4 linked regions of the Notamacropus eugenii genome follow. The protein of the gene in region 3 interacts with the protein of the main gene of each other region in a pairwise test. Links are inferred from orthologs where the notes say so. Each region holds a gene or a part of one and is shown on either strand. Other genes may lie near its edges. The genes, in order: C5H1orf216, KANSL1, NUP62 and SSC5D.

Region 1 (8,075 bases), on a different chromosome or scaffold from region 3:
ATTTAACATATAATTGGGGGAATAAGATACATATATTTAAAAAAAGAAATGGTGAGCTGGTTGATTTTAGAAAAAAAAAAACATGGAAAGACTTATATGAAATAATGAAGTGCACAGAACCAAGAGATTATATACGGTAACAGCAATATTGCTTGAAGAATAATTGTGAACAATTAAGTTACTGAGTACTATAAATACTCAGATTAGCTATAAAGGATCTATGAAAAAAGATGGCATCCACCTCCAGTGAAAGAACTGATAAACAGAGGGAAGCATAGTATGGAAATCTGTGTCAAATGGTGGCATTCTCTAGTGCAGGATGCGGAGGAAGATAATTTGGAACTTAAAATGTGAAGGGGGAGGGGGAGGAGGAGGAGGAGAAGAAGAAGAAGAGGAGGAGGAGAAGAAGAAGAGGAGGAGGAGGAGAAGGAAGAGGAGGAGAAGGAGAAGAAGGAGAATGAGAAGAAAAGAAAGAAGAGGAGGAGGAGAAGGAGAAGGAGAGGGAGGGAGGGAAGAAGGGAAGGAAGGACAGAAGAAAGGGAGGAAAATGGAGTTGTCCAGAAGTAGAAAAGCTGCCTGCCTGAGGGAGGGGTAGTTCCTCTCTCTTTGAAGGTCTTCAGACACTTCCCAGAGATCATTTGGCCCATAAGTTAAATGGCGAATTCCTTTTGTGTATGGGTTGGACTATCTGGCTACAGGCATTCCCTACCAACCTTCTGATTTTGTGATTCTATGACTGTATGTTCACAACTGCCAAAATGATATTCCTTTAGTACAGGACTGCTCATCACTCTCCTGTTCAAGAATTTGCAGTGTCTCCCATCTTCCTCTAGGATAAAATACAAATTCCTTTGTTTCTCAAATTCTTCACAATCTGGCTCTGACTGATCTTTCCAGACCTATTGCACATTCTTCTTCTTCATTCACTCTAAGTTCCAGTAGAATACTTGCTTTTCCCTGAACACATTTCCTCTCCTGTCCCCATATCTTTGCACAAGCTGTCTCTCAGTCCTGGAATGCTCTTGTTCCTCACTGCTGCTTCTTGAAATTCCCAGATCCCTTCAAGGTTCAATTCAAGAGCTACCTTGTTTAGAAGGCATTTCTGGATACCTCCAGTTTCTACTCCTCCCCCAACCCTGTGTCCTTTTTAATAATGCATTCTATATTTTCTTCTTGATGAATATATTTTGTATACTATGTATCCTTGATTTACTTATCAGTACACATTTTTATATCTTGACTTATTGGTGTGCATTTTTGACAAATATTTCTTCTTATTGGTGTGCATGAGTCCCTCTTCTCTGCTCCCACCTCCTACCCTCAAAGCCTTTGATGCCAAAACCTATCTCATTTTTGTATTTGCATTTCCAGAGTTTGGCACAATGCCTAGCACATAATATGTGCTTAATAAATACTTGTTAGTTGATTGACAGATTGACTGATTATCAGATAGATTGGGACACTGAGGTATTGAGCAGAAAGGCCCTGAATAGCTGAGTTGACTCCTCCTGGCTTCCACATTAGGAGGTCCTTTCTATCCCTGTCTTCTGTTGCTATGGTGCCCATTATACCTAGCTCTGTCTGTCCTCTCTCTCCTCTGCTCTGATCAGCCATTACCCTCCCTGTGAATACTTTCAATGGGCAGAGATTAGAACAAATGTATTTGTCCAAGTGTAGGCTTGAACTCACAGAGAAGGTGTCATCATCAACTATATACATTTTGTGTATTGGCAAACCAAGGCTTACAGAAGATAAGAAATTATCCTGCCAGGCAGCCTAACAAGGCGGGGGCAGTGATCAGAGGACGACAGGGGGAAGGATAAAGAAAGGCGAATGGTCATCACAAGGTGTAGGGAGGGAGGATGGGATAAAATATTGTTTATGGAGCTGTGTTTTAATGGTCTTCAAATCACCAGGTATGGTGGCTATGAGGTATATGTACGTACAGTATGCATTTGGGGCTGCGTATATGTATATGTACGTACAGTATGCATTTGGGGCTGCATATATGTATATGTACGTACAGTATGCATTTGGGGCTGCGTATATGTATATGTACGTACAGTATGCATTTGGGGCTGTATATATGTATATGTATGTACAGTATGCATTTGGGGTTGCGTATATGTATATGTACGTCGCGTATATGTGGTTTATGCATGCCCATGCATGCAGGTTGTGTACATGTGTGTGTTGCATATTATATGTATACATACATTTTTCTGTATGTACCTGGGTAGTGTAGCTGTGTGCCCATGTATGTACAGCGTAAAGCATGTGTAATATGTATGTATGGTACCTGTGTGCAGGTTCAACTGATGAGAGATATGGAAATGAGTGCTAATCAGTCATTTGGTATTCACTAAGGACAAAAACTAGCCTGGCAGGACTGGCAATTCCTTAGGCCCTGCCCCCAGAGGGTCTCTGGCACACAGGTCCACCTCCAAGACCTTGCGCAGAAGCCAGGCCCAGAGTGGTGGAGGATCCTGAGGCTGGTAGGGAGGGGAGAGAATTGTGAGGAGAGCAGGGCTCTAGGGTCAGTCAGCGCCCTCACATACACCCCATCCTTGTGGAGTACAGGCAAAGCCGGAGCATCCTTAACCCCATCCTCATTTTCCTGTTCCCCTCTTCTTCCCCATGGGCCTCCCGCAAGCCCCGCCTCCACTCCCCATTCCCAGCCACTGCTCTGGCGGGGGTGGGGGATGCTGCAGGAGACGCTCCTCCTTCCTCTTCACCCTTACCCACCCCCCCACCCCCACTCCCCACCCACAGCCCTGGGAGGCCAGAGATGAGTCTCTCCCCTAACATGGGCCACTGCGGTGTCCCCCCCGCGCCCTTTATAGAGCCCCAGCCCCCGGAGTTTCTCCCCTCAAAACAAAACGACCACCCTGCCCACAGCCCAGACTCACAGCCCAGAGGTGCCCAGGCCCACCCGACTCGGGCTTCAGCTCCTCTCCGGCTCCAGCCGCAGGAAAGCGTCACTGAGTCACTGGCCTGGCAAGGAGTGCGGAAAAGGGAGGGGCGGAGCCCCGGCTGCAGCGGAGGCTGCACACACACACACACACACACACACACACACACACACACACACACTCCCAGACACACAGGAAAACGCAGAGACACACACTCGGGAATACATACAGGCACACTCAGAGGCACACACTCAGGCACACGCAGGCACAGATTTGGGCAAGACAGGCACGCACAAATTCAGGCACACTAAGACACAAACATACGCACAGAACACACTTGCTGGGAGAGGTAGGGGACATGAGAGGGGAAGTAAAGCCATCCTCCCACAAAGGAAAGATTCTTGGGAGAAGGATACAGACAGCAAAAAATCCTTTTTTTTTTGCCAAGCAAGGAGAGGTTCACACACACACACACACACACACACACACACATATCTGTATACTCCTATGTACAGACCCATGAATAAATTCTTTTCTGTGTTTTAGGAGCATAATACTGAAAGCTTCTGTGCGGAGCAGATGATCTGTAAGCACCCTTCCACTTCTAGAAACGCTATGACCTTTACAGTGGAAATGACAGAATGATGTATGCTGGCAATTCAGGCAAGTACACTTAACATGTACTCATGTCTGTGTACTCATTTGCAGATATGTCCAGGAACAAGCTTACATGTGTAGGTATGCCTGTACATGTACTCCATGTAAGTAGGTATGTAAATGTTCTTGTGCAGGTTCTCATTCTCTCTAATTTATTTTTTGTCAATTTACCATGGAAGTTGTTCCATACCTTCTCTTTTCTCCTTATGTCACATAGTACCCTCTCCTCCCATCTTCTCAGCAGAGCGCCTTACCTCGTACCTTACCTGAAAAAATTGAGGCCATTACTTAGAGCTCTCTTTTCTTTCTCTTTTCATCCCATATTTTCATCCTTTACTATCTCCTTTAGTCCATTCACTGAAATAGTCCTCCCCATTGCCAAGGCTAACCCCTCTGTAACCTCTTGATTCCATCCCATCTCTCCCATTTTTTTCCTTCACATTGCCTCTACTATCATCCCTTCTCTTTCATGATTGATCTCTTCCTATGTCCTAGTTCCTTTCCTATTTCCTACAAACATTCAAATCCTCCCCCATCCTTAAAAAACGACAACCCCACCATCCCTGAAACTATTGTCCTGTATCTTTAATCTCTATATCTTTAATCTTTAAACTCTTCGAAAATAATGCATATACATGGAACTACCGTTCTCCTTTCATTCTACTTTTTATGTTAATTTTTATTTTACTTCTTTTCAATTAGTAAATATTTATTCTCTCTCCCTTCTGCCTTCTCCCTCCCCACCCTTAAAGAAAAAGAAAACCCTTGTAACAAATACCGATAATGAAGCAAAACAAATTCCTGCATTGGCCGTGTCCAAAAACACATGTCTCATTCTGCATCTTGAGTCCATCGTCTCCCAGGAGTTGGGTAGCTTGATTCATAATAAGTCCTTTGGAATTGTAAGTGGTCATTGAGTTTCTCAGAATTCTTAAGACTTTCAAAGCTAATTGTTTTTACAATTTTTAAATTATAGACATTGTTCTCCTATTTCTGCACCAGTTCATACAAGTCTTCCCAGGTTTCTCCGAAATCCTCTTTCTTTATTTCTTGCAAAATAATATTCCATTGCATCCAGATACCATAATTTGTTTTTCCATTCCCTAAATGACGAGCACCCACTTAGTTTCTAATTCTTTGCCACTACAAAAAAAGAGCTTCTATAAATAGTTCTGTATGTATGAGTCCTTTTCCTCTTTCTGAGGAGGAGTATAGTTGGGTCAAAGGCTATGCACAGTTCAATGATGTTTTGAACATAATTCCATATTACTTTTCAGAATCAATCAACACTGAAATCCATGCTCGAGCTGAACTGCCAAGCATTCAGACTATGCTTCAGAGAACACAACTCCGATGGTCTGGCCACGTCGTTCAAATGCAAAATGTATGCTTGCCAAAAAAGGCTAGTTTATGGAGAACTCACATGGGGCAAGTGATCACATGGTGGTCAGAAGAAGAGATGCAAGGACACTCTCAAGGTCTCTCTCAATAACTTTGGACTTGATTGTGCGACATGGGAGACACTGACACGGGACTGCTCAGCATGATGTGCCCACATCAGAAAGGGTGCTGTGATGTATGAGCAAAGCAGAATTGAGATAGCACAAAGTAAACATAGGATGCACAAATTTGGAGTATCCATCCCAAATACTCACATGGACTATCTATATTCAATCTGGAGCAGAACATTCTGAGCTCATATTGGTCTGATCAGCCACAGGCAGACACACTGAAACTTCACTTTATCATGGTGATGTCATTTTGGTCCTCTTCGAAAGCAACAGAGAACAACCAATTGTTGCTCTTTTACCCAGGAACCCTGAGGGTCTTCTCCTCCCAGTTTGATTTTTTTTTTTAATTAAAGGGGCCATCCCTTGAACATGTGCTTAAAGAAGTCTATTCATTGAATGAGTGTATCTCACTCAAAGTGAGAATGCTATAAGACCTTAGTCTGAAAGGGCCAGGGTCTCCCATTGCATCCTGGATCATCTCCAACTGTCCTGATGAATATCAGGTAACTGGATCCAGATGGCATGGGAGAAGAAAGTGAGGTTGGTGACCTTGCACAGCCCTCCCTCACTCAAATCAAAGTCAACTGCAAATCATATCATTATCTTGATGTCATGGTCCTCTTTGAGAGTGAAGGACGAACACACATTTTTTTCCCCCAAAGCCTCTGCAAACCTCATCATTCAATTGAAATCTATTTCTACAAAGTAATTTCTTCTTCTTCTCCTCCACTCCTCCTCCTCCTCCTCCTCATCTTCCTCCTCCTCCTCCTCCTCATCTTCCTCCTCCTCTTCCTTCTCTTTTTGGTGAGACAATCAGGGTTTAATGACTTGCCCACAGTCACACAGCTAGTAAGTATCGGAAGCTGAATTTGAACTCAGGTCCTCCTGACTTCAGGGCCAGGATACACTGAGTTGCCTACCTGCCCTATGACCACTTCTTAATGACCAAATCTAATGATATCTTCTCATTATTCCTCCTCCTTAACCTATCTACATTTTACACTGTCAACCACTCATTCTCTAGGTTACTTTCTGAGTTTTCATGCTATTGCTCTTTTCTGGTTCTCCTCCTACTAGTGTGATCTGTCCTCAGTCTCCTTTGCTGGCATGACATCTATATCACAGCCCTTTAAGTATGGGTGGACCTCAAGGTTCTGTTCCCAGTCCTCTTCTTTATATTCTTTTTTTGGAGATGTCATCAGTGCCCATGGGTTCAATGATCATGTCTTTGTTCATGAATCCAAGATCAATATACCCAGCCCAAGCCTCTTTCTTGAATTTCAGCCTTTCGTCATCAACTGCCCATTGGACATGTAGAAATGAATATTCTTGGGGTATCTCAGACTCAGCATGTGCAAAAACGAATTCGTATTTCCTCCTAAATTCTCTCCTCTACCAAACTTGTGGTAGAATTGTGAACTGATCCAACCATTTTGGAGAGCAATCTGGAATTATGCCTAAAGAGATAAAACGGCATAATCTTTGACCCAGCAATGCTACTATTAAATGGTCTGTTTCCAAAGATGATTAGGGGAAAAGAAGAAGAACCTGTATGTTCTAAAATATTTATAGCAACTCTTTGTGGTGGCTAAGACCCGGATATTGTGGGGATGCCCATCAACTGGGGAATTGCTGAACAAGTTGTGATATATGATGGTGATGGAATATTACTGTTCTATAAGAAATAATAACTTCAATAATCTTAGAAAAACATGGATAGACTTGCATGAAATAATGAAGAGTGAAATAAGTAGAATCAAAAGAATGGTGTATACGGTTACAACAATATTATTTTAAGAACAACTTTGAGTGAATAAGTCATTTTGACTATTAATACCCAAAGTAACTACAAGGGACATTTGAGGGAAAACACTATCTGCATCCAGAGAAAGAACTGATAAATAGAAATATGTATAGAATGTTTTTACACACTCACACACACATAGACACATACATGTTTATGTCTAATGGTAGCCATATCTTGGATGAGGGAGAGGAGAAAAGAAATTCAAATGATAACTTTATTATATATGTATAAATTTATTATTATTATTATTTTATTTGTTTTCATCACTTCCATATATCTTGGATTTTTTTCCCCTTCCTCCCTCCATTTCCCTCTACCTCCGCAGTCCCTCCTTGAGACAGCATACAGTTTTATATAAGTTCTACAATACATTCCTATTAAATACATTTTCACCTTAGTCATGTTGCATGGAAGAATTAAAATGAATGGGAGAAATCATAAAACAAAGCAAAACATAATACAAAAGAAAATGATCTGCTTCATTCTGCAATTGAATTCCATAGTTCTTTCTATGGATGTGGAAGGCACTTTGCTTTAAGAGACCATTGGGAATTATTTAAGTCCTCACATTTTAGTGAAGTACTAAGTCTACCAGAAAAATTCCTCACACACTGTGGTTGTTGCTGTGTACAAAGTTCTCCTGGTTCTGCTCCTTTCACTCAACATCAGTTCATATAAGTCTTTTCAGACCTCTCTGAAGTCTTCCTGTTCATCATTTCTTATAGCACAATAGTATTCCACTGCATTCATATACCATAATTTATTCAGTCATTCCCCAATTGATGAGCATCCCCTTAATTTCCAGTTTTTGGTCACCACAAAGAGAGCTGCTATAAATATTTTTGTACATGTTGGGACCCTTTCCCATTTTTATGATCTCTTGGGGATACAGTCCTAGAAGTGGTATTGCTGGGTCAAAGGGTATGCACATTTTTGTAACCCCTTAGGCATAGTTCCAAATTGCTCTCCAGAATGGTTGAATCAGCTCACAGCTCCACCAACAATAAATTAGTATTCCAACTCTCCCATATCTTCTCCAACATTTATCATCTTCCTATTTTGTCATGTTAGCCAATCTGATAGGTGTGGGGTGGTATCTCAGAGTTGTTTTGATTTGTATCTCTCTAATCAATAGTTATTTAGAGCATTTTTATATGACTATAGATAGCTTTAATTTCTTCCTCTTTA
Region 2 (7,972 bases), on a different chromosome or scaffold from region 3:
AACTTTTATTGTTAAAGTTTTATTGTTTCCTTTATGTTTTTAAACACCACATTTACCCTTAACTTTCTCCACCTTCACTGAACTCTCCTTGGGACAAAGAAAAACATTTAAACCTACTAACAGAGTAACAACATCTGATAACGTATAACTTGTTCCACATCCATTTTCCATACCTCTCTAGTGGGAGGAAGAAATCAGTTCTCTAGCACTAAAATTGCTTATCCTAATTTATCAGCTATTGACTGCTTTTTAGTGTTATTTACATTTTGAAGTCATTGTGACTGCTTAGTAATACTATTTTCTTTTACGTTATTGATATTCTTCTCCTAAGTTATGCTTATATTATTCTCCATCAATTAATGTCATCCCATATTTCTCTGAATTCCTAATATTCAATGTTTCTTATAGCACAATAATATTCCATTACATTCATAAGCTACAATTTATTTGGTCATTGCTCAATTGATTTATTTTGAAATTCTTGCTACCACAAAGAATGCTGAGATGACTATTTTGTTAAATATAGTAACTTTCTCTCATTGTTCTCCATGGCATATAATTGAATTCTAATTACATAAAATGTGAGAAGGAAACTATCATTGGGGTATGTTCTTGTCTTTATCATCAATATGCCATCATCAATAATGATAAAATAATATATAGCAATGAAAATAAATATAAATTAATAATAAATAGCAAATATAATATACCCACACTTTGAAGACCTCTAAATTCATCAGTGTGGGTATTCTCTCTGTTGAACAAACCCTTACTCATAAGCATCTAATCCAACTCATATACTAAAGACATCTCCATAGAAACATATCTGACAAGTGGTGTCATTCAGATGACATGAGATAACACACGTAAAGTGCCTTGCAAACTTTAAAGCTCTACGTAAATGCTAACTATTATCATTCTCTATCATCCACCCTCTACTTGAAGAGCCTTCCTCTCAAAGTAGACTATTTCATATTGGCACAGCTCTAATTGCTTGGAAATTTTTTCCAATATCAAGTCTAAATTGATCTTTTCTACCCATTACTACTGATTTTGCCTCTTGGGGGCTAAATAGAACAATTTAATCCCTTCCACGTAGTAGGGGATAGTTATCATGTCTCCCTCATATCTTTTCATTTTCAGACTAAACAATCTTTATCCTCATATGACAATGTAAGCAAAGACAAGGCAAAAATTCTCTGTATTTGGGAATCTCAGTCAACAAAAAATAATTGAAACAAATAACATCTATACAATATCAGATCATAACTTGCCTATAACTTAGTGGGGGGTCTTTTAGACTACTTGTGGTTGAAAATTTCATCACCTTACAATCAAGTTTGTGATCGTAAAATCATACAACATATAATGTCAGAAGTGGAAGAGACCTAGAGATCGTCTATTCCAAACCCTCTCCTTTCATATATGAGCAACTTTAGCTAGGCTTATTTGTCAACAATAGATATATAGTCTAAAATTGGGACCATACTTGAAACCCAATTCTATAGCTTGGTGTCATATTTTATACTTCACTGGTATCAACTCTTTAAGAACTGAGTCACCATGGTGCTATTTCTAGCTATCAGTCAAAAAGAATTTAAGTACTTGCTGTGTGCTAGGTGCTATGCTAAATGTGGGGGTGGGGGGAAGTGGAAGGGGGAAGTGAAGGATGCAAAGAAAGACAAAAAAAGGTCCCATTTATCAGGATTACATCTATGTCATCCGTCTAAAATCACCACCAGCCTCTGTTCCTCTGAATGGAAGGTGGAGCCATGAATTCTAAAACTTCTCCTTAATAGGAAGGATAACTCAGTACAACTCTTTTGGCATTTCTCTCCTGGCTGCAGGACTTTGGAGGGTCTCTGACTTTTCCACCATAACCCAGGAAGCTCATCAATGGGAAAACTTCATCATCTTGCAAGATCCCATCAGTCTGGCTTCTCTATCTCATCACCACCCATTGTCCCTTTGATTAGAGGGTGGAGCTATGAACTCCTTTTATAAGTTGTTTTCATCTTCTTTTGTATGTTGTATTTCTCATTAGATTGTAAGTTCCTTTTAAAATTTGTATCCCTAACCCTTGAACAGTGCATATGCTTAATAAATATTTATTGATTGACTGAAGTTTCTTCATAGGAGAGGCACTTGTGCAGTCCAGCAATGAGTATTTCCTCTCTGCTCAGCCAAAAATTTATCTCCAGTATTCCAAAAAAACCCCAGCATTTGTGTTCTGTAAAATGACTGGCTTAGAACAAATGATCTCTATTTCCTTCTAGCTCTAAATCCTGTTTCCCATAACTCTAAATTATAACAACCCACTTTGTTAATTATTTTTTAAATGAGACTTATTATAAATACCTTTTATTTTGTATCAGTCATTTTTGTATATGCCCTGACAAAATAAGTTACATTCTGTCCTTGTAGTCACCTGCCTCCCTAGTAAGGAGAAGAAGGCATATGTTATAATCTGTTTCTAATACCAAGAATGGTTATTTTTACTACAGAGTTTCGCATCCTTTTAATGTTTTTATTTACATTTTTGTCATTTTGTATATTGCTCTGCTCTGCTTATTTCATTCTGCATCATTGCATATAGATCTTTCCATTTTTCTTTGAATTCCTTATTTTCATCAATTTTCAAAAACTGTATAATACTATTCCATTACATACAAATTACATTTATGTGGTACTTTGAGATTTTCTATCAACATCTCATCAAGGTACACAGTACAAACATAATTATACTCACAGATGAGAAAGTGGAGGGTCATGATGATCCTTTGACTTGACCATAGCCATATTGCTAGTAAGTATTGGAGTTAGGAGTTCTTTACTTATCTTTTCCATTGACACTTGAAATTGAGTAGGTTAAAAAAAAAGCTTATACAATACCATGACCCTGAAAGGGCTGATCTAGTTCAACCCTTTAACATTGCATTTGAGGAAACAGAGTCACCAGATGTGTGACCTGACCAAGGTCACATGGAGATATCATAGGACTAGGACTGAACTCAGGTCTCCTATCTCCTACTTCAATTCTTTAGGTTCAGAGATGTCCCAAGAAGAAAGTTGCACAACTAATTTGTAGCAAACCAACACAAACCAAATCTCCTCCCTTCTAATTCAATTTTCTGTTTCTTTTACAACTTACTTTTCTGAGTTCCCTGTTTCTTTTCTTACTCCCAAGTCGACTTGGCTTCAATAACAATTCAACCAATATTCCCTGAAATATCAGGCACTGTAAAAATACACCATTTAGGTGTGTTCCCTACCCTAATGGAGCCTACTTTTTAGCAGGTGGATATGGTACATAGACAATTAACCATACTCAAATGGATTTGTACATCCATTTGGGAGTTCCTTCCAGTGATGCTGATCACAGCCTCAGCATGCTTATCTGCCCTGGGCAGCTCTTGTCTATCTGTTCCCAAAAGTTTGCCACAGGGGATCCTCCCAGGAAACAAATGAGGATGGAAAAGGTGGCAAGCATGTAAAAAGTATAATGTGCTATGTAAGGTTGGAGCGGGAATCCTAGGGATGGGGCAATAAGGAAAGGTCTCCTGGTGGAGGTATTTGAACTGAACTTTTAGCCATAGGTAAGATTTCTTTTGGGGGCAGTGAGAGGGCACTCCATGTATAGCGAGCATGAACATAGATGTGGAAGTTGTATTAGAGTTAACTAGTTTAGTTTGTCTGGAGCTTAGGGCATATGGAGTGGAGTAGTATAAGATAAAGCTTCAAAGGTAGGGGGTGGGTGTCAGATTGTGGAGACCCTCAGATACAAAGCTGAGGGTTTTGAATATTATTTCATAGTCAATAGGTGCCATTGGAGAGTTTGGGGTATAGAAATCCCCCCATACCAATGATTCATGTGTGGCGGTGGTATGAAGGATGGATTGGAGGGGGAGGAGGGAGAGAAGGAGGTGCAGGTGGTCATGAGGCCCGGTATTAGTAAGAGGCTGGTGGCAGTCTGAAGATTGAGATGGGAGATACTGCAGAGTCTCAGGGACTTGGCAGGGCGTGGGAGAGGAGGAGCACTTCCCAGTTTTCCTGTCAGTGCCAGTAGCCCCATCATCCTTCCACTTTCTCCTACCTCTCCTTCCTGTATCCTTGCATCTCTGTCTATATCATGTAGGTCTATATAGCCACATTTCTGCTACCTAGCCCTGCAGTGTCATCTCACCACGTCCACAGTGTCCACCCCCCCCTTCTCCTCTCCCCCTCCCCCCACTGATTTATGGCTGAATTGTTGCAACATCCTTTTATAAGGTCTCCCTGCTTTAGTTTCCATCATGTCGCTGCCCGGCTCTAGAACCAAGAGATGGGGGGGGGGGGGGGGGCGTTAGGGTGGGAGGGGGAGACGTGGTGCTGGGGAACGAAGAGGGGGCATGATCAGGGGACCAGACTGGGGATGCTTCTTGGAAGCCCTGCCAGGACCCCTCCATCTCCTTCTTCCCACCTCCGGGCCCCTCCCGGCCTCTCTGAGCAAACATTTCCCGAATGCACGGACAGAGACAGAGACAGAGACTCCGAGAGACAGAGAGAACCAGAGAACCCGGGCACCAGCATCACTCGCCCCCCCTTCCGCCACGCCCCGCCACCCTGACGGACGCTCGGGCGCAGCCAATGAAGCTCCGGCCCTGACCTCGGTAGGCCAATGAGAGACGGAGGAGGGCGGACAACTCCCCGCCCCCCACTTCTAGGCTAGGTTGAGCCGTGCAGGTAGGTCCGGGGCCGGGGGAGCCGCCGTTGGCGCTGGTGCCCGTGGCGGAGCGGGGGGTCTGGGGGCCCGCGAGATGAAGGGGCAGCCGTCGAGGGAGGGGAGGGGGGTCCGGGGAGCCGGGCGGGCGGGGGAAGCCGGGGGGTGGGCGGCCGCAGGGGCGCGGGCCTGGGAAGCGGGTTGGGCTGGGGGGGAGAGGGGACGCGTGTGTATGTGTGCGTGCGTGTGTGAGTGCGTGTGAGTGCGTGTTGCACACCCGCCGCCCCACTCCCCCTGCAGCCGCCCCCGAGCCCAGGCCCCCGCGGCCGCCGGCCCGGCCCCAGGGATGGCGGGGGGGAGCGGCGAAGGAGCCCTGGGCGCCAGGCCGAGCCCAGGCGAGCGCGGGGCCCGAAGCCGGGCTGCGGGGGGCCCGGAAAACCGAGGCCAACGGCCGTAGCCCCCTCCCCCCCGCCCAGGGCCTCCCGGGGTCCTCCCGCAACAATGGGCTTCGTAGTGGGGAGGAACCGACAGAGGGCTGGAAGAAGGTGGAGGTGAGGTGTGGGACCAGGGACCACCTGGAAGAGGGGAGGGGAGAGCAGGGCTGGAGTGGGCATGGCCCCCCCTCCCCCCCAGCCCCATCCCCAGGCCTCTGGATGGGGATGCTGATGGGGGAGGAGGAGGCCTGGACGCGAGCTGGCCCCCGACCCACCTCCTCCACTCAGTGCCATGAACTGTAAGGAAATGAGCCCAAGCCATGGGAAGTGATGCCAAGTTCAGGAGCTGGTGTGATGACGAAGGCATGGCCAGAAGAACTCTACCCCCACAGTCAATTTGTGTGTGTGGAAACCTTTAATTTTCTTATTTTTCCACATGAAGGAAAAAAATTTAAGTAGTGGGTGCTATTCTGTTTTGTTTTGAGGGGCTCACCAACTCCTGTAAGCTCTTAGCCTCCTATTGGAATTTCCCTTGGGCTCAGGGACCCCGGACTTGAGGGAACCTTGTGGTCATTTCATGCCACCAGGCAAAATCAAACCCATTGCAGACACTGGACTGACTACAGCTGGGTTTTGGAAAAGTATCTAGAAGAGTAATTACCTTTCACTTAAACATTCTCAGATTAGAAAAGATGTAGGTTTGTTTTGGAAATAGAATCGATCCTGGAACTTCATTTTTTATCAACTAAGTAAAGGGTACTGTTTAAAAGGATCAAAAGATGTTTATTGTTATTGAGGTACTAAGTCCCTTTCTAGTTAGTTTGGTGATTTTACTCAGACTGTTTAGAAATATTAAGGGCATATCTACAATTCAAAAATATAAACAGCCGATTTTTCAAATACTTGGAGTACATAGGGCCTAAGAGTATTGTGACTGTCTTTATACATAAAAACTCTGTTTCTAAATTATGAACTTTAAGTCCTCTACCAGATAATGAATTCTGATTCATCACTTGCCCCCTTCCCCTTCTCTCTGTATATGCTTGGGCTAGAAAGGAATTGTAGAGACCATTTAGCTAGCCCAGAGATTCTTAATCTATTTTTGTCATGGACCCATTTGGCAGTCTGTTACTCTTTCTTAGAATAATTTTTTAAAATATTAGTGATTTAGGGAAATGCTAAATTTCAGTTAGAGGTTAGTGAGAATAAAAACATTTTTTCCCCATCAGAGTTCATATATACTTCTCATATCTATCCATGTATGCCTTGGTGGTTTGTAGATCCCAGGTTAAAATTCCTGAGATAACCAACTCTCTTCAGTTGATAGATGAGAAAACAGGCCCAGGGAAGTTAAGTGACTTTATTGGCCAGGGTCACAAGTAGAAGTTTTAAAAAGTCAAAATTTGAATTCAGGATTTTCAAATTCTAAATCCAGAATTGTTTTCATCACATATATCCTCATTTGTACAAATATAAACATATATAATGTATATACATATGTACACAGGGGGCTTGCAGAGTATTAGTACTTTAACAAATTGATGAGATGAATGGCTGTTTGAGGAAATAAGAAATTTAACTGATTTAATTTTTAAAAATTATTGGGTTTGCAGATAATGTTGATTTGTATTTAATTTAAAAATCTTCTGTTTCAGCTATCCTTTTTGAAAAGTAAAGATTTTTACAAGTGCTGGTCCTCGTTAGATCCAGAGGAGTTACCAAGATTTTCTTTTTACTTCTTAATCTTGTGTGCATTATTCTGGACACTATGAATGCTACTTGGATGCCCGTTAAGGTAAAGGTCTTTTTTCTTAGTTTGTGTGCTTTTGGCATTTATGTTCTTTTGAATTAGAGAATGACCTAATACGTTTTAATCTTGGTATTTTCTGTTTGCTTATTAATATTAGGTAGTTCATTTTCTTCCTAGAAGAGAGCACCATTTATTGTTAGTTGCATTGTCCCTTGTCAAGGATGTTAAAAATATTTATTCAGTTTTGGAACCATTTTCCATTATTCTGTGTTCAGTTCTTTCATTTAAATCATAAGAAGCTACATAGTCAGGTTTTGCTTTTTAAATGTGGTAGAATGGATTAGAAAATTTAAAAATTAGTTCTACCTTTAAACTTAATGACCAAGTTGTTACATCATATGTACAAGTGTTCATACTACTGTTGAAAATCAGTAGCTTAGAGACCTCAAAAGAGTCATGGACCACTTGTTTTTTCAGTAATTTTCTACAGTATGTTAAAATTCTGTTGCCATTTTGGTCTTTGGAGAAATAACCTTGTTAGAGAGTTGAGTATGGCTTGGCTGAGGAATGGTCATTATGGATGTCCTTCTTCCTTTGTCCTTTACAAAAGCTTTCATGCCCCAACGCTGTACAGATGGAATCCTGTGCCAAGTCACATGTCATTGGTTTAACTCCATCCCAACAATGGAGATAAAAGTCTGGTGATAAAGCTGCCATCAGCGTGCCTGACCCTCACTTTGATATAAAGAAACAAACTGATATATGTATGCTGGCTCTCAGTAGGGAGGCTATCAATCTCTTTTTTTTCTCAATGCCTACCAGAAGGGCTAACTAAATAAGATCCATATGTGCCATTCAGTGATGTAAGGTACTTAAAATGGGGAATCAGTCAATTAACAATCATTTTTAAGTGCTTACTTTGTACCAGATGCTGGGCTAGGTGCCAGGGATAAAAAGATAAAAATGAAATGCACCCTGCCCTGCCCTCAAGAAGCCTACATGTGGTGAGCCAGCCATTTACATAGGTCAGTATCTACAGAATAAATTAAAAATGCACAAAATGTAGATTAGAGAGAGAAGGCACTAGCA
Region 3 (7,446 bases):
CTTGGAGAACAGGCATTTCCTCCCTTCCTCTCTGATGAGGAAGAACAATGCTTACCATCAGGCAAAGACACAGAAATCAAGGCTTCTGTGTCCCAGCCCACCCAATGGGCTCAGGCCATGGAAGAGCTCAAAAAGAATTTTGAAAACCAAGTTAGAGAGGTGGAGGAAAAGCTGGGAAGAGAAATGAGAGACATGAAGTCAAAGCATGAACAGCAGATCAGCTCCCTGTTAAAGGAGACCCAAAAAAATGTTGAAGAAAATAACACCTTGAAAACTAGCCTAACTCAATTGGCAAAAGAGGTTCAAAAAGCCAATGAGGAGAAGAATGCTTTCAAAAGCAGAATTAGCCAAATGGAAAAGGAGATTCAAAAGCTCACTGAAGAAAATAGTTCTTTCAAAATTAGAATGGCACAGATGGAGGCTAATGACTTTATGAGAAAGCAAGATATCACAGAACAAAGAGAGAAGAATGGAAAAATGGAAGATAATGTGAAATATCTCATTGGAAAAACAACTGACCTGGAAAATAGATCCAGGAGAGACAATTTAAAAATTATGGGACTACCTGAAAGCCATGATCAAAAGAAGAGCCTAGACATCATCTTTCATGAAATTATCAAGGAAAACTTCCCTGAGATTCTAGAACCAGAGGGCAAAATAAATATTCAAGGAATCCACAGAACACCGCCTGAAAGAGATCCAAAAAGAGAAACTTCTAGGAACATTGTGGCCAAATTCCAGAGTTCCCAGGTCGAGGAGAAAATATTGCAAGCAGCTAGAAAGAAACAATTCAAGTATTGTGGAAATACAATCAGGATAACACAAGATCTAGCAGCCTCTACATTAAGGGATCGAAGGGCATGGAATAGGATATTCCAGAAGTCAAAGGAATTAGGACTAAAACCAAGAATCACCTACCCAGCAAAACTGAGTATAATACTTCAGGGGAAAAATTGGTCTTTCAATGAAATAGAGGATTTTCAAGCATTCTTGATGAAAAGACCAGAGCTGAAAAGAAAATTTGACTTTCAAACACAAGAATGAAGAGAACCATGAAAAGGTGAACAGCAAAGAGAAGTCATAAGGGACTTACTAAAGTTGAACTGTTTACATTCCTACATGGAAAGACAATATTTGTAACTCTTGAAACATTTCAGTATCTGGGTACTGGGTGGGATCACACACACACACACACATGCACACATACATAGAGACAGAGTGCACAGAGTGAATTGAAGAGGATGGGATCATATCTTAAAAAAAAATGAAATCAAGCAGTGAGAGAGAAATATATTGGGAGGAGAAAAGGAGGAATTGAATGGGGCAAATTATCTCTCATAAAAGAGGCAAGCAAAAGACTCATTAGTGGAGGGATAAAGAGGGGAGGTGAGAGAAAAACATGAAGTCTACTCTCATCACATTCCACTAAAGGAAAGAATAAAATGCACACTCATTTTGGTAGGAAAACCTATCTCACAATACAGGAAAGTGGGGGACAAGGGGACAAGCAGGGTGGGGGGGATGATAGAAGGGAGGGCATGGGGAGGAGAGTGCAATTCGAGGTTGACACTCATGGGGAGGGATAGGATCAAAAGAGAATAGAAGTAATGGGGGACAGGATAGGATGGAGGGCAATATAGTTAGTCCTATACAACACAACTATTATGGAAGTCATTTGCAAAACTACACAGATTTGGCCTATATTGAATTGCTTGCCTTCCAAAGGGAAGGGGTGGAGAGGGAGGGAGGTAAAGAAGTAGGAACTCAAAGTGTTAGGATCAACTGTCGAGTAATGTTCTTGCCATTAGGAAATAAGAAATACAGGTAAAGGGGTATAGAAAGCTATCTGGCCCTACAGGACAAAAGAGAAGACGGAGACAAGGGCAGAGAGGGATGATAGAAGAGAGAGCAGATTGGTCATAGAGGCAATTAGAATGCTTGGTGTTTGGGGGGGGGGGGATAAAAGGGGACAAAATTTGTAACCCAAAATTTTGTGAAAATGAATGTTAAAAGTTAAATAAATAAATTTAATTAAAAAAAAAAGGGATCCCCCCCAAGAAAGGATCCCAGATCCCTTTTAATCTGAATGATTAGGGCAGCTACAAGAGAAGCCCCTTGCTTTTGGTTCCTTGGGATTTATTCCTCTTGGCCAGCCCTAGAAATCAAGACAAATCAGCCCTAGAAATCAAGACAAATCAGCCCCTGCTAATGACTAATGACTTCTAGTGGGAGTTGTAGTCCATAGACTCTGTCAGTCAGGCTTACTCAGCCTATCCTTCAATTAATCATCCTCAGCTAGTATTATCCTGCTAGTCTTCTGTTTCTCCTACAAGAGCAATTCACAGGACACTCAAGAGCTAATGGCATAGGTCACCAGTGGACGGGCCCAGATCTGGTGTCATTTGTCTCAGGACAGTGCTGATGACAGTGAGCAGACACAATGGTCAGCTTTCACCCAAGTGGGCAAGATCAGTCCTCACCTTGGTGAAATTTTGGGCTCCCCAAAGCATGGAAATACTAGTGTACACATCAAGATATCCACTCCAACCACTAGCCAGTCCTGGGAAAGTCCAGAATTGTTTTTGCTTAAGTTAGCTAGTAGTCACAGGGCAGCCCCAGAGCAAATGAAAAGCATGAACGGTGTGGGGGCAGGCTGAGCAGGGCAGACAACTACTTCTTTACCCCAGAGGGTGATATTGCTGTGACCAGTTACTTTCATTCTCTTATACTTTTAGAGTTTTAAACATCACAATTGGGTGATGGGGTGGGAGAGTGTGAAAAAGGAGACTGGCCTGGCCTGTGTTTATTGTACATAGCACATAGTGGAGGTCCAAGACATGGCTTTTCAGGGCCTCTTCATTTTACATATGCATATATGTTTTGCATGACTACCCATATATAACCTATATGGACTTGCTTGCCTTCTCAAAGAGGAGGGCTGGGGAGGCAGGAAGGGAGAGAAATTGAAATTAAAGTTTTAAAAACAAATGTTAAAAAATTGCTGTTCACATGTAACTGGGGAAAAATTAGATACTAAAATACAAAAAAAAAATCAAACACCAAAGCTCATTATATATTAACTTATTTTATCCTTCCAACAACCTTGCAAGACTGTCACTATTATCCTCATTTTACAGAGGAGGAAACTGAGGCTGTAAAAAGTTAAGTGACTTGCCCAGGGTGGTACAGCTAATGAGTGTCAGAGGCTGAATTAGAATAACTCATCTTCCTAACTTTCAGTCTAGGACTCCAGTCACTGAGAAGTTATAGTAGCCTCAGATATTGTCTGAAGCCCTGGGTTCTGCCCAAGAAAGGGGGACTCTATCCCAAAGGGGTGACTGCTCCCCAGGGAGCTGCTTAAGACAACCTCGCTCTCTGCCCTGCCCCGCCCCACGGGTCCACTAGGACCACTTCAAACTTTACGCAGCCCCCAAATGGACAAGTGGAATCTCCCTTGCTTTGCCCCTCCCCCAGGAGGCTGAGGGGGACTGCTCAACATGCCCCGCCCCCATAGGTTAATTGGTACCGCCCCCCTCGTGGTCCCTCTACACAGGGCACCTCCATAATATCCCCTCACTAAATGGCTGTTTGGGACACCCCATCATGTCTCCCCACAGGATTAAATAGTACTGCCCCCCATCGTGCCCCGCTTCCACTAAGCTGCAGAGCTCTCCTCCGACATGCCCCGCCCCCACAAACTATTTGGACCGCCCCCATTCGGCCCCGCCCCCATGTTATCGATACCGCCCCTATTGTACCCTTTCCCCCGAGGGCTGTTGGGAGACCCCCTATTTTGTGCCTCCACAGGTTAAATGTTACTGCCCCCGTTATGTCCCGCCCCCACAAGGCTGCTGGGATGGCTCCCATTTTGTCCCCACACTGGAGTAAATGGTATCGCCCCCGTTATGTCCCGCCCCCAAAAGGCTGCTGGGACTGCTCCCATAGGTTATTGAGGACCCCCACCACCGTGTTCCGCTCCTATAGGATAATTAGGACCACCTCCATCGGCCCGTGCCCCCCCCCCGCTCCCGCAAGGTTATTGGGACCGCCTCCATTGCACCCCTTCTCTAAAGGGCAGTTGAGCTGTCCCTATTATGCCCCATCAGGGTGGAGACCGCTTCTACTTTCCCCTCCCCCACGAGATAGCTCGTTCCCGCCTCATTGTGACTCCGCCCCCCTAGAGGGTTGCTGGGACCGCCTTCCTCCCAGCCCCGCCCCAGAAAAATCTCCTCAGCATCTCAGCGCCACGGCACCTGGGCAAACGACGCCTCAAGATGTTCCGCTGGCCTTTCAAGGGCCCAAACACCCCTACATCCCCAATGTCAGGCCCCGGCGACTCACATCAGAGGGGGAACCCGTTCCGTAAGTACAGCGGTACCGGGTAACCTTCATCACATTTTTCACTAGCACAGAATCGGGAGGTGGGAGGGCAGGCTCACGCGGGCTCCCTTCCCCCCCTTTTTTTCTTTTCTTTTCTTTTTTTCTCTTTTCTTTTTCTTTTTTTTACCTCGATCTCGAGGGTTTTTGTGGCGACAGCCTCAGCCCAGCCGGCTAACTCGTCGTCGCCATGCCCCCTCAGCCCCCCCTCAGCCGTTTCTCAGACTGCCAGCCCGCGCCTAGCCCAAAGGCCCTGACCGTTACCACTTTTCGGACCGTAAGAAATAGGGGGACGGATCGCCATTACCTGCCACGTGCGGTCTGTGTGAATGTCTTCCTCAGCTTTTTTCTGGAGGTTCCCTCCTTTAAGTCGGTTAGTGAGACTCGGTGGAAATTCTAATTTGTCCTCAAGCAAAAAAGAAGTCCGAGAGCTCAGCTTCTTTCTGTTGTCATGGCAACTACTGGCCTCTTTTCTCCCTCGTACCCGCTAACTTTTTGCACCAATTAGAAGAGCCTACCCTCTAGAGCGATGCAAGAAGCAGCCCATAGGACGTCCGGACCAATGGGAAACCTTCCCCCCTCCACCCCTCCAGTTCGCTGCCTCTGCTACAGGCAGCACCGCTTCCCTCCTAACCGACGCAAGACGCTGGCACGCTGTTGCGCAGGCGCACCTGGTTTGAACTTCACTTCCGGGCCGGGAGCGGGAGCGGCAGCCATTGTGGTGAGTTCGTATCGGCTTGGGGTTCTTTTACCTTTACTTTTCTGTTATTTTCCAACGGGAGTTGACAGATTTCCTTTCCCTGTACCTGGGTACTTCTGCCCACGCCCGAAGGCTGCATTAACTGCAAACAAAGCATTCTGGTTGTGAGCCGAAAGGCCGGGCACAGGGACCTTAGCGGAGCACCTGGGGGCTGCTTTTGTCGCCACCCGGCTTCTCTTTCTCCACGTGTCTGAGTCTCCTTCCTCAGTACAAGGAGTGGCGGGGGTCCTGCTTAGGAGGCGCCCTCTCTGACCCCTTTTTGTATCTTTGGACGAAAAAGACCAGCTCGTGGAGATAAAGTGTAGCCCTGCAGCACGCTGTCACTAAAGCAAAGTCTCACGAGCCTAAAGTTCCAAGTTTCCCGCCTTTTTATACTTCACTATGGCAGCTCTGTCCTTTCGCCTCTGAAATATCTTTGCTTGTTCTGTGCTTTTGGTACTTGGGGACTATTTTCTGATAAATACATAGAGAAATAGCGTTGACTTTCATTTTCTTGCGTGTCTGCGATTTGCTGAGGTGATTTTTTTTGCATTGTGTTTGTCAGTGACTTATCAGTAATAGTTGCTATTTAGAGTTTGCCTAAGTTTCGCACTGGAGTTCCTTAACCCATGTGGCAATCAATATTTAATACCTTTTATGAGTGTATATAGTAAGATCAACATGTATATTTTATTTGTAGACCAGCTGAGTTTCTTTTCTGCTGCCCACGCTGCCTACTTTTTCTCGTGTTAAGTGCCTTCCTTAATGGGGAAAGGGAAAGTCATCAGCATTTAAGGTTTTACCTTAGTAGTCTGGTACAGTGCTAAGAAGCTGAACCTCTCCGGAGTAATTCAGCCTTCATCAACCATAATAAAAAGTTTGCTGGAGCAGGAGGCCATTGAAGCTATTGGGGAAAATAGAAATTTTTTTTTTCTCAAAATTTCTTCTATGAGCTATTATCATAGAGAGGAAGTTTGGCATAGTGGATAGAAAGCTGGCTTCGCAGCTAGGGAGACCTGAGTTGAAATTCTTCCTCTGACACTTACTGGATGTATGACCTAACTTCTCAGCCCTCGGAGCTCTCTTGCTCTTAAGTTCTATAGAGCCCTGGGAGTTCCCGGCTCAAAATTCTTATCATAATAATAGTAAAATGTCTAAAGTTCTAATACAGTAAATATTCATAGATATACCCCAGGTAAATAAAAGCTCTTTGGGTGAGTCTTCAATAATTTTTAAGAGTTGTAAAGAGGCCCTGAGACCCTTTCGTTTGAGATTCGCTTCTCCAAGCAGTTTCTCTAGGACTCTTTAAGTTACAAAGAATGTGCCCACCAGCCATTTGTAGAGGGAGTTTACTCACCGAGTTCCCCAGTAATAGTGAAATCACGGGTTACAACCCCATCCCTACCTATTACCTTGCATAATCTGCTCTTTGTTTCTGTAAATTGGTGAAGCTTGCAGAGAGTAATATATAAATAAAATCTGAATTAGCACTCCGCAACTCTTCTATTCTTCTGACTGACCAAAAATTATAGTACCTGGGCTAGTGAACTCACTATTTTGTGTAGTGCCATCCATCAGATGTGCGTCTCACACACTGAAGGATGATAACTCACATGTACATGGTACTTTAAGGTTTACAAAGCATTGTCCTTCCAATCCTATGAGGCTGTTGTTTATGGCTAACCCCACTTTACAGATGAGGAAGCTGACCATGGTCAGCTAGTAAGTGTGAGAACCATGTATTGGAACTTGGTTAATTTGACTCCTAGTCTTACACTCTTTCCACTATGCTTGCCTCTCATGATATTTGTGGATTCAAAATAACTGGATATGATTACATGATTGCCACTTTTTATCAGAAGACATAATATGTATTTCCCAGAAACAACCTGGCCAGTTTGCTCTGGTGAGACAGTCTTAAAGAAGAAAACAGGTGCCCCGCTCAAACCAAGCTACAGAACGGCACAGACCTTATTGAAAACACCCTGTGGATGCATTAGACTTACACAACTACATAAAATATGTTCCCTTTGGTGGTGTATCATTTGACATATAGCTGCAACTAACAGACCAGGTGTGAGTGGCCAAAAAGTATCTCTGATTTCAATGAACTTTGGTTCTAGATGCTATACCAGCTTGTCAGTTGTTGATTACTGTGTGACTGAGACCTGACATTGGTGCTGTTGCCTAGAGGATCTAGAAATGTATGTGTCTTTTTCCAAGATTATGGTACTTGATGACCTGGTGGTGTGCTGAGTTCTCCCAAGCTAATGCTTTGCTTGGAAACTCCCCTTGGAATGTAAGTTGCATGCCCATAGGAGGATTCCTAT
Region 4 (7,752 bases), on a different chromosome or scaffold from region 3:
GCGGGGGATGTCCCAGGGGGATGGTGGTGCCCGTTTGGAAAAGGGATAAATTTGTGGGAAAAGTCATCAAGTAAGCATGCTTTTATTAAGCTGCTACATGTTGCCAGGCTTGTATACAAGGTATACAAGGAAAGAAAAACCCCATTCCCTGTCCTAAGAGCTCACCATTTGATGCAAACAAGGAGGTACCAACAGGAGACTGGAGGTAATCCCAGAGGGAAGGCCCAAGGTGGAGGATGATGGGGAAAGTCAGGCTTCAGCTGAGATGTGAAGGAAGCCAGGAAGCAGCCAGGAAGCGGGGAGAGAGCTCTAGGCCTGGGAGACAGCCAGTAACAATGACCAGAGAGGGGAGCTGGCCTGTCTGAAACACAATCACACAGAAGGGACAGGGATGGGCCTCTGTATGGTGTGGAGTTGAGTACTTGACAAATATTATCTCATTTGATCCTTATTAGGAATCAAAGATATTAGTCTTATTTTACAGGTGAGGAAACTGAGGCAAATAGGGCCTCCCAGCTAATGATTATCTGAAGCTGGATTTGAACGCAGGTCTTTCTGACTCCAAGCCCAGTGCCTTACCCAGCCACCTTTGCTGCCTCTACATAGAGAAGAACAAGGTGTAAGAAGCCTGGAAAGGTGGAGGTGGGGCTCTAAAAATTAAATAGCATTTTCCACTTGATGCTGAAAGCAATAGGGAGCCACTGGAGTTTATTAAGGAGGAGAGGTAACATGATGAGACCTGCACTTCAGGAAAATCCCTTTAGTGATGGAAGAGAGGATGGACTGTGGAGTTTAGGGAGAGACAGAGGCAGGCAGACCTCCCAGCAGCTGTTGCCACAGTCCAGGCATGAGGGGGTGAGGGCCTGCACCAGGGTGGGGCAGGGTCAGAGGAGAGAAGGGAGTGGATTGGGGAGATGCAGAGGAGGTGAAATGGACAGACCTTGGCCAGGACTTGGATATGGGGGTGATAAGTAGTACGGAATCCTAGATGTCACCTAGCTTTTAAGCCTGAGGGCCCGAGAGGATAATGATGTTCTCCACAGTAATAGGGAAGGTAGTAGGGGAAAGGCTGGGGAGAGAAGATGATGAGCTCTGTGGGGGCTTGTGGAGTAAAGATGTCTGACCTTTACAGTCGAGGTTTCTGTGAGGGGGTTGGAGATGGGAGCAGAGAGCTTCAGGCTGGATACATAGATCTGGAAATCCCAGGCATCTCTAGCTGGCCATTGAATCCATGGGAGCAGAAGAGATCCCCGAGTGAGGTCATAGAGCAGGAAAGATGAGTTATGCTTTAGACATGTCAGACTCGATGCCCATGGGATGGACAGAGTCAACCATCCAGGCCTGACAATCAGGAAAGACACTGAGGTTAGCCTGAGGACTCGGGGTCTCTGGTGTAGGGATGATTGTTGCACCCTTGGGAGCTGACGAGGAGGCCGAGAGAGCTAGGGAAAGGGGGGGCCCGGAGGGAGCCATGAGGTATGGAAGGCCATAGAGAGATCCTGGGATGGGACAGTTAATTTGGCAGAGGAGACTGAGCCGGGAGGAGAATGAAGAAAGCCGTTTCCTGCAGACCTAAGGAGGAAAAAGGAACCTCTCCTTCTCAGTCCCACTGGCCTGGACCTAGGCCTCTTTTCCCCCCAAAAGCTCTTCTCCTTAGCATTCCAGCTATCCCCTCCCCCCAGGGCCCCCAGTGTTTCCACCAGGCTGCTCACTGCTCCTTCCTCAGGTCTCTCCTCGGGGGCCCACCCCACCCCTTCTCAGGCTCCCTCCACAACCTCATCCACCTCTAGCTTCCCATTGGCCTTTCCCCACCTTTCTGCCTCCCTTGAGATACCTACCATGATCTCCGCCCCACCCCCCAAATTTGGCTCTTACCCAGCCCCACCCCCCAAGTTCACCAGGAACTCCCCATCACTATTTTTACATAACTTATTTTCAATGAACCAAAGGCAGATTTTTCTCTCCCTCCCACCTTGGCTTCCTACTATGGGTCCCTCCCAAAGCCCTCCCTTCCAGAAATCTCCCCAGGGCTTAGCCTGAAGTCTAGCACATAGTAAGTGCTTCATTAAAACCTGATGACTGGCTGATCTGCGCCCTGAATATTCCCACCAGCCCTGTCCCCAGCGGATCCTTCAGAGGGCATCCTCACCAGCCCTGGCCTGTGCCCCTTCCCAGTCTTCATTAGCCTTCTCCCATCAGCCCCTCCCCACCAGGATCCCCACCAGTGAGTGCCATCTCTCTCTGTACCCCTGACTTGTGCCCCTTTATCCTCAGGATGGGGTGAAAGACACAGAGAACCGCGTGGCCCTCCATGCCCTGACTCGGCCCCCTGCCCTTCTGCTCCTGGCCGCTGCCAGCAGTGGCCTCCGCTTTGTCCTGGCTTCCTTCGCCCTGGCCCTGCTTCTGCCCGTCGCCCTGGCTGTGGCTGCTCTCAAGCTGATGGTGCGGATGCGATGGGGTTCACTCCCCTCAGACTCTGGCCTAGGAGGCCCCTGGGTGGCAGTGTGGGGAACTGATGACGTGTGCGGGGTCCTGGCCCTGAGGCCCGGGACCAGTGGAAGCAGCCTGTCCGTAGCTCGCCTGGCCGTGGCCCGCTGGCACCGTCGACGTGGTGTGGCCACGAAGCTGCTGGCCTTCGCTGAGGCCCGAGCCCAGGCATGGGCCCGCCAGGCAGGGGGCCCTAGAGCAAAGCTCATAGTTCCTGCTCCAGTAGGAGCCCGAGGAGCCGCTGCCCTCCTGGAAGGAAGGGGCTACCATCCTGAGGGGGGCTGGGGCTGGATGGGACACATATTTGTGAGGGAGTTTACGAAAGAATTCTAATGCCCACTGTGTCCTCTCCGCAACCTGGCCTTGGCTCAGGGAGGATGGAGCCATCCGGGACACCTGTATGCTTTCAAGTCTCAGCTCTGGTTCTGGCCTAGTCCATGACCCTGGCCTAGTCCTTCCCTCTGGGTCTCCATCACCCCCTAAGGACTGGGGGAAAGGATACTTGCACTGCCCACCTCACAGGATTAAATGTGGGGGATCACCCTTGGCCCATCCTCTGGCTGCTCCTTTTTATACCAGTGACTCTCTGATGACCCCCCATATCTCCCCTGTCCACTGTGGGGGTCCTCAGGCAGTCAGCCTCCAACTGCCTTTGGGTAGCTCTGTCCTCCGACCCCAACTATTCTGTGGTTCTGTGCCCTGCCAAGATCTCCCAAGGTTCTCATCCCATTTCCTCCCAGAAGTTCCTTCTCAGACATCCCTCCCTCAGACTCACTGAAGGCCCCTGCAAACACAGGATCTCCTGCTCTCGCCCCCCTCAGTTAACCTTTAGCCTCACTGGACCCCTCTGAGCAAGACTTCCCTCTTCCCAGAGCACCCTGCCCAGGATCCTTTACCAAGCGCCATCAGTGATCTTCCCCTTTTCTGGGGACCGTCCCGTGGGGTTGGACTCCCTTCTCCATCAGTTGGCTACCAGGATGACTCCCCTCTGCTTTGAGGACCCACAGAGTGACCCCCTGGCTCCCCCACACCTTGAGATGACCCTTCGTCTCTGCCTTGGGTCTCTCTCTCCCCTCCCATTCCTCCTTTCCCCTCACATCTGTTTTTATCCCCATTGTTAATAAACTGAAACTCCCACCCACTGCCTGCCTCCCTTCTGCTGTGATGCCTTTTCCAGGTCCTCCAGCCCCCTTTTCCAGGCCTGTCTGGCCCTGGAGCCACATTAATATTCGGGGAGGGAGGGAGTTCTGAGCCACTGGTGCTCCAGGCCCCAGACCCCAGACCCAGGCCCCAGGCAGGCTGAGATGAGCTCAGGCTGCAGGGCCCATCCCCTGCCAACCTTGATGACTCACGCTCCCCATTAGCACATTTTTTCCACCCCACATCTGCCTGCTGAGCTTGGGGGCCAAGTATCTGCCCCCGCCCCACTCCCCTTCCTCCCCCTCCAGCCTGGGCCCCACCAAGCCACTCTCTCTCCCCGCCCCTTCGATCCTGGGGCTATCTCAGGGCAGCCTGGCCTTCCCCCGCCTTCGGACAGGGACCTGCAGCTTGGGTCTGGCCATTTACCCTCCAGCCCTGCAGTTCTTTCTTGTCTCAACAAGTGACTGTTGGTTGGAGGCTGAACCCTGTGGTTTGGACCATTATCTGGACATCAACTGACCCTCTCCCCTAGTGGCATGGATGGTGGGGTAGGGCAGAGCAGAGGGGCTGCTGTGGTAAACAGTGAGGGTGGGACAGGAGCAGAGACCTGGAGAGATAGGCAGGAGTGGGAGACACCCAGAGGGAAGGACCCGAGGGAAGAGGGAGGTCCACTGAGGCAGAGCTCCAGGGCCAGAGGCTGCTCCAGCCCCTTTTGGCAGGTCTCCCGGCCCAGCGCCCGAAGTGTCTGGGGCCAGCCAATCCCCCCCCCCCCATTCCCCCACGCCTCCTCAGCCCCCTCCTGGTCCCCCGCTGCCTCCTCCACTGTTCTCTTCCCTTCCTGGTGCCGGCGTGTCCCCAGCCCCCGCCCGCCTGCCCGCCCCTCCTCAGTCCAGGGCGCTGCCGGCACTTCCCCTCAGCTTTTACTGCCTCCGCCTCCTCGACCTCGTCTGCTCCCCCCCGTCCCCCAGCCCCCCCAGCCTGGGTCCTAGGGGCTGGCTCTGCAGAGATGAGGGTCTTGGCCTACCTCCTTGGTGAGTGACCGCAGAGACCCAGAGGTCCCTGCTCCCAACCCCTGCCTCCTACTGACCCTAGCTCCTTCTGGGCATCTGGGAGTCCTTACTTCTCCCATTCAGGGACCCAGAGGTCCTGACCCCCAGCCCCTGCCTCCTAGACATCTGGAAGTCCTCGCTTCTCCCCTTCAGAGACCCAAGAGTCCTGGTCCCCAGCCCCTGCCTCCTGGACATCTGGGAGTCCTTGCTTCTCCCCTTCAGGGACCCAGGAGTCCCAGCCCCCAGCATACACTTTGCTCTTCTGGCTACTCTCCACAATCCTAAACATTTAGTTTTCATTACTTTCAAAAGGATCCAGCAGTCTGCCACCCTCCTCCAAGAGAGGTCCAGATGGCATCTTGTCCCCCATTGTCTTCTAAGATCCAGAAATAGGGTTCCCTGTTCCCTATTCCCTTCTCAAGAGCCCAGTCAGCTGCAGCCTCCACCGTCACTGACCTTTGTTCCCTGTGGTGTCCAGGTCTCATCCCCATCAAGGGTCCAAACATCTAGGCTCTCCTGGAAGCCAGGTTGAAGGTCCCTTCCTCTTTCTGAACTGTTCTCCCAGGGACTGGGGCTCCATTTCCTCAGGTCCTTCCCACTGGGTTCAGAGATCCAGGCATCCCCATTCAGAAACCTGGAATCCAGACCCTCTCCCCACTGCTTTGTGAATGCTCGACCCTGTCAAGGCCCTACACAGCTTCATACCTAACCCAGATCCCTGAGTGTCTCCTCTGAGGCGGTGACAGGGGCAAGGACTCCCCACCTTCACCTTATCGCCCTCATCTCTCTTCCAGCTGTTCTGATGGGGATTCAGGCTGTGGGTGAGTCTTTTCTGAGTCCCCTTCTCCTCCTTCCCTGTCATGCCCTTTGTCACCACCCAACTCCACCTCTGGGCTTTAGCTTTGGAGCTCACTGGATTCTCCCCTTCCCTCACTGGTTGTCTTGGGGATACAGGCATCAAGGATACTGTGGGCTAGACCACAGGGCTCCAAACATTAGGCTCTTCATTCTTTGTTCATGGGAACCCAGCCTTCCCCCTCCCCAGTACACAGCCACTCCCTCAGAAGCCCCGAGTCTCTACCCTGCCCATCATAAACCTAGGAGTGTGGGATCCCTGGGCCCCCTCCCCAACAGGGACCCAAGTGTCCAGCCACCCAGCAAACGTGTGCTTCTCCAGCCCTACTCATCCCAGGGACTCAGACCCTCTCAGCACCCCAGGACCTCCAACCCATTCTTTGGACAGGGACTCAGGCATCCAGCTTCCTAGCCCGGCTCAGTTCTCTAACCTTGAACTCAAACCCTCAGTGACTCAGCCTTTGGGTCTCCCAGGCCCTGCTCCCCTCACTGACCTAGCTTTTCTCAGGATCTCAGGTGTCTGCTCTCTAAACCTCAACTCTCCTCAGGCATCCATGGGGACTGGCATGCCAGCCCCTGGTTCCTTAGGGATAAAGATTTCCAGGACTCCTATCTGCCTCTTCAGCAGCTCAAGTATTTAGTGCCCCCAGGCCCCCTCAAAAGCCTAGGGATACTGCTGGGCTAGATGAGGGTCCCTCCTCACTGGACCCCCCTCGGCAGAGCGGCTTCGCCTGGCTGGGGGCCCCCATGGCTGTGCCGGGCGGCTGGAGGTGCGCCACGGGGGGCGCTGGGGAACGGTGTGTGACGACGGCTGGGACCTGCGGGATGCTGCTGTGGCCTGCAGGGAGCTGGGCTGTGGAGGAGCCCTGGCCGCCCCAGCAGGAGCTTTCTTTGGAGAGGGGATCGGGCCAGTCTGGCTGAGTGAGCTGGCTTGTCGTGGGTCTGAGAGCCGGCTGGGCCTCTGTCGTCACCGAGGCTGGAAGGCCCACATCTGCTCCCACGAGGAGGACGCTGGCCTCGTCTGTGTAGGTAAGAGCTCCAGTCCCCGGCCCTCCAGGGTCCTGCTCTTTCCTAATCCTCACCCTCTCCAAGATGGAAGTATCCAAGAACTCTGGCATGGGACCCCAAAGTACCTAACACTATGTTTTAGGAAGCCTGGCACTGGAACTCCCAGGGCCCTCCCCACTAAACACCACTAAGCTCTTCCAAATCTGCCCACTCCCTACAGGTCAGCGGGCAACCAACTCAAGGTCGGATTCAACAGAGCCCCTGGACCGGGAGCTGTGGTCTGAGAGCTCCCCAACATCCCCAGGTGAGGCCCCAAGATCTCCCCCTGCAGAATCTGCAGAGCCTGACGCTTACATCTCCCCTCCCCTTCCCTCATTCACCCTTCCCCTAGCTGGGAACCCGACAAGCAGCCCCCAGAAGGCCCCTCGGCCTCCCAAGCTGCCCAAGGCCACCCGGGCCCCTCTGCTGACTTCCAGTGCTTTCCGACAGGGTGAGTGACCACCCCCACATGTCCCTCTAAGATAGAGCCAACTCCCCTCACCCCCCTCCACCTTTTCATTTCCAGTTTAGTTCCCCCCCAAGTCCGCAGCCAAAACTACATCTGGGTACTATTAGGAATGTTCATGAGGTCAGTGGGGGGATACCTTTACTTCTTATCTCCCTTCATTCTGCCTGCCCCAACTCCCTGGGGCCTACGCGTCCAAATCCCCTTGCCCCTCCCCCCAGGACCCACATGTCCAACTCCCTAGCCCCTCCCCCGCCCCCAGGACCCACATGTCCATCTCTCTGGTTCCTGCCTCATTTGATGTCAGCTGATTCTGTACCCACTGTACAGCCCCCAAAAGGCTACCTACATGACCTGCTATTTTCATGGTCACCCCCACCCCACTCAGAGACTCAGGTATCCAGGCACCTGTTCCTTGCCCACCCTCTGCCTGTCTTAGGGATCTGGAGATCTGCCTCCTCATTCCCTACTGTCCTCAGGGACTCAGGTGTCCTCTGCATAGTCAGGTGAAGCCCTCTGGCCCTTGACACCCAGGAGTGGAGCTCCCCAGAACATATGGCCCACCCAGGCTTACCAGCCCCCAGCTTCCATTCTCCTCAGGGATCCAAGCCTCTGCCTCTTGGCCCCCAATCCCTCAGGGACCCAGGCACCTGGAGGGCTTAGATGAAGGCCTGGCTCACTGAGTCCCTCCTCTGCAGAGTATCTGCG

Evidence for each region.
Region 1: the proteins of NUP62 (region 3) and C5H1orf216 interact in binary tests that used the Homo sapiens proteins (3 or more experiments, as listed by UniProt). The two-hybrid records come from large-scale screens. The link is inferred for Notamacropus eugenii from reciprocal best matches to the Homo sapiens genes NUP62 and C1orf216.
Region 2: the proteins of NUP62 (region 3) and KANSL1 interact in binary tests that used the Homo sapiens proteins (3 or more experiments, as listed by UniProt). The two-hybrid records come from large-scale screens. The link is inferred for Notamacropus eugenii from reciprocal best matches to the Homo sapiens genes NUP62 and KANSL1.
Region 4: the proteins of NUP62 (region 3) and SSC5D interact in binary tests that used the Homo sapiens proteins (3 or more experiments, as listed by UniProt). The two-hybrid records come from large-scale screens. The link is inferred for Notamacropus eugenii from reciprocal best matches to the Homo sapiens genes NUP62 and SSC5D.

The regions. Positions count from the first base shown.
Region 1 is NC_092876.1:83,994,382-84,002,456, forward strand, and holds the start of C5H1orf216 (UPF0500 protein C1orf216 homolog), read right to left. Parts: upstream 3,018-8,075; 5' UTR 2,910-3,017; intron 1-2,909.
Region 2 is NC_092873.1:346,575,808-346,583,779, forward strand, and holds the start of KANSL1 (KAT8 regulatory NSL complex subunit 1), read left to right. Parts: upstream 1-4,698; 5' UTR 4,699-4,722; intron 4,723-4,887; exon of another isoform or gene 4,888-5,250; intron 5,251-5,299; exon of another isoform or gene 5,300-5,534; intron 5,535-6,788; 5' UTR 6,789-6,928; intron 6,929-7,972. UniProt on the Homo sapiens protein: Non-catalytic component of the NSL histone acetyltransferase complex, a multiprotein complex that mediates histone H4 acetylation at 'Lys-5'- and 'Lys-8' (H4K5ac and H4K8ac) at transcription start sites and promotes transcription initiation.
Region 3 is NC_092879.1:31,951,598-31,959,043, forward strand, and holds the start of NUP62 (nuclear pore glycoprotein p62), read left to right. Parts: upstream 1-4,160; 5' UTR 4,161-4,274; coding exon 4,275-4,362; intron 4,363-4,684; exon of another isoform or gene 4,685-4,820; intron 4,821-4,906; coding exon of another isoform or gene 4,907-4,970; coding exon 4,971-5,102; intron 5,103-7,446. UniProt on the Homo sapiens protein: Essential component of the nuclear pore complex. The N-terminal is probably involved in nucleocytoplasmic transport.
Region 4 is NC_092876.1:18,059,852-18,067,603, forward strand, and holds the start of SSC5D (soluble scavenger receptor cysteine-rich domain-containing protein SSC5D), read left to right. Parts: upstream 1-4,410; 5' UTR 4,411-4,633; coding exon 4,634-4,658; intron 4,659-5,390; exon of another isoform or gene 5,391-5,470; coding exon 5,471-5,497; intron 5,498-6,251; coding exon 6,252-6,560; intron 6,561-6,759; coding exon 6,760-7,029; intron 7,030-7,742; coding exon 7,743-7,752. Other genes in the region: NAT14 (probable N-acetyltransferase 14), read left to right, coding at 2,275-2,516.